Linked DNA regions of Kluyveromyces lactis. The protein of the gene in region 1 interacts with the protein of each later gene in a pairwise test. Links are inferred from orthologs where the notes say so. Each region holds a gene or a part of one and is shown on either strand. Other genes may lie near its edges. The genes, in order: MAK16 and RPF1.

Region 1 (2,937 bases):
TAATGAAATTAGAAGGGACGTATGATAAAGGGGAAAAGGAAATAGATGATAAAAGTCCATCAATTAACAGCGAATTAGCCCGGGAAGTTGAAAATTTCCAAATCGTACAAACTGCAGCTCTTCCTGAAAGCGCTCGCAAAAGGCAATCCATGTTCATACAGAGAAGACGCAACACAATGATCGATTTTAGCGTTCGTGATTCACTCATTGACAAAGACTCCTCCTGCACCAGATTGGAAAATACTGATGAACAAATTCGTAATTTGTTAAACCAGTACACATTAACTGATTCAAGGCTTAAAATAGACAATTTAGAGCAACATATCCCGTTCATTCTGATGTATGATTCTAAATCTGTGGCAAACCAATTGACCTTGATTGAAAAGGAAATTCTATCTGAAGTTGATTGGAAAGATCTATTGGATTTGACAATGAGTGAACAACTTCCACAATTTACCAGTTGGCTGCAATTATTGGTACAGAACGAAAACTTGTCGGGTATCGATTTAGCCATAGCAAGGTTCAACTTGACCGTGGATTGGATCATTTCTGAAATCGTAATGACTCAGGACATAAGGTTGAGAAGGAACACGATCCAAAGATTCATTCACATAGCCGAACACTGTAAAGAGTTACAAAATTACAATACTTTGATGGAAATCATCCTTGCATTAAACTCCATTGTCGTTCAGAAATTCACTGAAACATGGAGACTTGTCGAACCAGGCGATCTATTGACTTGGGAAACGTTGAAGGCCATACCATCCCTGGAAAAGAATTACAGTAACATTAGACAATTAATAGACGAAGTCGAACCACTTTCTGGATGCATTCCATTTATCGTGGTATACTTATCGGATCTATCTTTAAACATTGAGAAACGTACCTGGATTGTACATGACGAAGTGCTAAATTACAACAAATTCCAAACAAATGTTCAAATAGTGAAAAACTTCGTACAGAAGATGCAATGGTCCAAATTTTACAACATTGATATTGACCATGAGTTGTTAAGCAAGTGTGTTTACATCACATCATTGTCCCATGACGAAATCAATTCAATTTCACATAAATCCCCAATTTAATTCTTTAATGTCGAGTAAAGTATTTGACATAGAACTAGTTAGTCTCAGTTCATTTCACCTCATATAATATATATATCAACACACGATTTTATCAGTTTCAAATAGTTTCATCCACATTTTTTTCGAACATATTTGAATGAAGGTTAATCTCTTTAGATCTAATCATGCATATTCCGACTCTTGATTAAGTTTCCGATTATAACAATAAAATATCATTGGTCATGTGACTAAAAATTTAGTAATCCATTTCTTTTTTCTCTTTCTGCCTGAAAATTTTTGAGAACTGAAAAATATCGATGCGATGCGATGAGATGAGATGAAATGAAAGAAGCAGCGACTAGCGGAATAGCAAGTAAACTTAGCGATAGTCATAACCAATTTAAATAAACTCATACTAAGCATAAACCAGTATCTGTAGGATTGACTGAACATTAGCAGATGTCTGACGAGATCATTTGGCAGGTTATCAACCAGCACTTTTGTGCGTACAAAGTCAAAACTGATAAGGGACAGAACTTCTGTAGAAATGAATACAACGTAACAGGTTTATGTTCGAGACAAGCGTGTCCTTTGGCAAATAGTAAATATGCCACTGTAAAGAACGTGGACGGAACACTTTACTTGTACATGAAGACCGCGGAAAGAGCTCACACGCCTGCTAAATTGTGGGAAAGAGTGAAACTATCTAAGAATTACACAAAGGCATTAGCACAGATCGATGAACATTTACTGTATTGGAACAAGTTCTTAATTCATAAGTGTAAGCAAAGGATGACAAAGCTTACACAAGTGATGATTACAGAGAGACGTTTGGCATTGAGAGAGGAGGAGAGACATTATGTCGGTATTGCTCCTAAGGTGAAAAGAAGAGAAGAGAACCGAGAACGTAAGGCATTATCAGCCGCTAAGATTGAAAAGGCTATCGAAAAAGAATTGCTTGAGAGATTGAAGAGTGGTGTGTATGGTGATAAGCCTTTGAATGTGGATGAAAAGATCTGGAAGAAGGTCATGGGACGTGTAGAAGACGAGGACTTGGATGAAGAAGAAAACGATTGGGATGAGGAAGAAGAAAGCGATGAGGGAGAAGTCGAATTCGTAGAAGATGAAGACGCTGAGGATGAGATGGTAGATATGGAAGATTTAGAAAAATGGCTCGGTGGTTCTGATACATCTGATTACAGCAGTGATGAGGACAGTGACGAAGACAGTAGCGACGAAGATAGCGATGAAGAAGAAAACCCATCTAAGAGACAAAAGAAATCTACACAAACCAGAAAGAGACATCCTAAGGTTGAAATCGAATATGAACAGGAACTAAATTCCAACCAACAAGAACTTGCACAATGATGCGTTTCTGAAAAACAGAGCTCGTCATGACCACATTTGTATACTATTAAATTTGACATATTATTATATTTATTGAAGATAAATTTCCAACTACGATAAAGAAGCAAAGGCAATAGTTAATAATTATATACACTTACAATAGCATCTCACCATCAATAGTATGTCCCCTTTCCCTTCATTTTGTTATACTGTACCCAAATAATGCATTCGAAATAGCAGTCACGTGGAAATATTGTTTCCATGCTGACAGTTTTTTCTTTGTAAATTATACCGGAAAATCCCATTAGGACACATTAAACAGAAAGATTCGTAAACCATTTGCACCATGAAACCCAAGTACTTTGAAAGGGAGATACAGAGCCAGAGAGGAGCGACACACCGATCAACCTGCTTTCCAATGAGTGGCTCAACTAAGCATGGCGACAGCGATGCGTTGTTTGATGTTGACTTTCTTGATGATAGCTACACCCCGGATTTACGGGATAGTCCAAGAAGGAACAGCCCA
Region 2 (3,001 bases), on another chromosome or scaffold:
GCTGGCATTTATCTTCTCTCAAATCACCGTTGAAATTCCACTTAACATATGTTTTGGTACCATTGCCTTCTTCGTTTTCTACTATCCTATTGGTTTCTACAACAATGCGTCATATGCCGGTCAATTAAACGAAAGAGGTGTGTTATTCTGGTTATTCTCTGTTTCCTTCTACGTATTTATCAGTTCAATGGGTCAATTGTGTATTGCAGGTCTTCAGTATGCTGAGGCTGCAGGTAATATGGCATCATTAATGTTCACTATGTCCTTGAATTTCTGTGGTGTGTTTGGTGGTTCTGGTGTTTTGCCAGGGTTCTGGATTTTCATGTACCGTATTTCACCGCTAACTTACTTTATTGATGGTGTACTCTCAACTGGTCTTGCAAACAACCCTGTAACATGCGCAAACTATGAATACGTCAGCTTTAATCCAAGGAGTGGAGAAACCTGTGGTGAGTACATGGCGGACTATATTGACAAGAATGGTGGTTATCTACTAGATTCAAATGCTACGGAAGATTGTAATTTCTGTAAGATTTCTGAAACAAACGCATTTTTGACAAGTTTCCAATCTTCGTACCATAGAAGATGGAGAAATTTCGGTATTTTCATAGTCTTCATTGTGTTCAACTGGTGCGGTTGTGTTTTCCTATACTGGTTGGCTAGAGTTCCAAAGAAGAAGAACAGAGTGGCTGATGAGAGAGACCCAGATCATGGCAAGAAAATTGAAAATGTTCAAAAGGAAAAGGTTGAACCTCAATCCAATGAACAAGTTTAAGGATTTTTGCTTTTTGGCCAATTTTTACGTCGTTTACTTCTGTTTTTTTTTAACTATTAAACTTCATTTCTTATCGTGGGCTTGCGTTCTGCTTTAATATTTTGTTTATTCTGTATATATAGACCTGAATTGATATCTGGTTTCCCCATATATTACTATGGAAACCAAAAAAAGAAACTTCGATTGCATATAAAGTCCCAATATAACTCGATTGCAAGTACGAAAATTATTCAATTTTAGCATGGATCTCTGTTGTGGATGGTCGTTGAGGTAATCAAGATCCTTTGATGGGATATTCGTCAGCTCACCCTTCCTACAATGATTGCAGCGACGAATGTGAACTCTTTTCTTTTTATCGAAAATTAGCTTTCCAAAATTTTGAAAGTTTTTGTATTGATCAGATGAGATGAGATGAGATGAGATGAGGCTAACAAGATAGAAGTTGAATATAGTGGAACATAGCTAGTTATGTAGCTTATTCTAGGTCAAATAGCGAGGGTGCATAACAGCAAATCGGACGATACTATAATTTCAAAATGGCAGTGGATGAACTCAGAATAAAAAACAAGCAGAAGAGGCAAAAACTCTTTGCTGAGTTGAAGGATCAGCACAATAAGGAGCGTCATTCTATGAGGAGGACCAGAGCCAAGGAAGAACGTGAGAATCCGGAATTGAAGGAAAAAAGACTTGCTGAAAATGTTCCTGACACAATTGATAACCTCAGAGTTTACGATGAAACGATGGGTCAAGAAGTCGAAGGTGAAATGGATGATTTTATGAAATTTTTCAACGGTACCGAACCACCAAAGATTCTATTAACAACTAATGTAAACGCCAAAAAGAAGGCATATGAGTTCGCTAATATCCTGATCGAAGTTTTCCCTAATGTGACTTTCGTGAAGAGGAAATTTGGATACAAGCTGAAGGAAATCTCTGAATTCTGTAATAACAGGAACTATACAGATATCGTGATAATAAATGAAGATAAGAAGAAAGTAACGGGGCTTACATTTATTCATCTTCCAGAGGGGCCAACCTTTTATTTCAAAATAAGTTCTTTCGTCGAAGTCGAAAAGATCGTGGGCCATGGTAGACCAACTAGCCATATTCCAGAGTTAATCTTGAACAATTTCAACACCAGACTTGGTAAAACTGTGGGTAAACTATTCCAATCTATTTTCCCTAAGAACCCTGATTTCGAAGGTAGACAAGTGATAACGCTGCATAATCAAAGAGATTACATCTTCTTCCGCAGACACCGTTACGTTTTCAGGAACGAAGAGAAAGTAGGTCTTCAAGAACTTGGGCCCCAATTTACTATGAAACTCAAAAGACTACAAAGAGGTATCAAAGAGGAAACAGAATGGGAACACAAACCTTCAATGGACAAAGAAAAGAAGAAGTTCAATCTATGATATATTTGCATATATTTATATACAAATTCAAAGCCACCTGTGTACTAGTCCTGCACTTGGAGATTTATCAAAGATTTGACGGTATTATCATCACTACTCACGAGGCTGACGAAAAGTGGTGGCAAAATGAGAAATTCCTTGGCTTTAAAGAAAACAGGGCATTGAAACCTTTAAAGGATTTGGAATGTTTTGGGCTTAAATGAGTACAAGCCCACTGTTGAAAAGATTAATTGAAACAAACGGTTACTCTGTTGATCTGAAGAGGTGGTACACTAATTGCTCTTTAGGATTGTCATATTCTTGGTCATTATATTTGATCGATTGCAATCTAAGAAAAAGTATTTTTTCAGGCTGTTTGTTATTGTTGTTTTATTGGAAAGGAATTATTAACACGATCGATCACTGGGAAAGTAAACACTGACAGTAAAAACACTAAGCCACTTTACTCTTTTTTTTGTACACTGTTGCTATTACCTCTCTTTTGTTTTCAGCATCTTAACGTTGATTCTGGACTCATTTTGAAAACAACAGGAAATATCTGATCCAATTCTGTCTTGTAACTAAAGCGAATTGGGAGAATAAACACACTTGATATCATAGCTGTCTCAATTTACCACATCGGTTTCTGATATTTTGAATCACTTTTGATTCAAGAATTACGAGTTCTCTTAAATTATATTAGTTTATAAGCAAGAAAAGGGACTGGGCACAAGTAGAGCAATGGAAAATTCAGGCGCTTCTCAAGTGGTCGCAGCTTTGGAAGTAATTTACGATCCAAAATCAGATAATGCGAAGAGATTGGATGCACAGA

The links.
Region 2: the proteins of MAK16 (region 1) and RPF1 interact in binary tests that used the Saccharomyces cerevisiae proteins (3 or more experiments, as listed by UniProt). The link is inferred for Kluyveromyces lactis from reciprocal best matches to the Saccharomyces cerevisiae genes MAK16 and RPF1.

Annotation. Positions count from the first base shown.
Region 1 is NC_006037.1:359,476-362,412, reverse strand, and holds MAK16 (ribosome biosynthesis protein MAK16), read left to right. Parts: upstream 1-1,523; coding exon 1,524-2,432; downstream 2,433-2,937. Other genes in the region: mitotic regulator LTE1, read left to right, coding at 1-1,085; aminophospholipid-translocating P4-type ATPase DRS2, read left to right, coding at 2,758-2,937.
Region 2 is NC_006042.1:2,011,926-2,014,926, reverse strand, and holds RPF1 (rRNA-binding ribosome biosynthesis protein RPF1), read left to right. Parts: upstream 1-1,311; coding exon 1,312-2,190; downstream 2,191-3,001. Other genes in the region: KLLA0_F21692g (pleiotropic drug resistance family ABC transporter), read left to right, coding at 1-775; karyopherin MSN5, read left to right, coding at 2,911-3,001. UniProt on the Saccharomyces cerevisiae protein: Essential protein. Required for biogenesis of the 60S ribosomal subunit.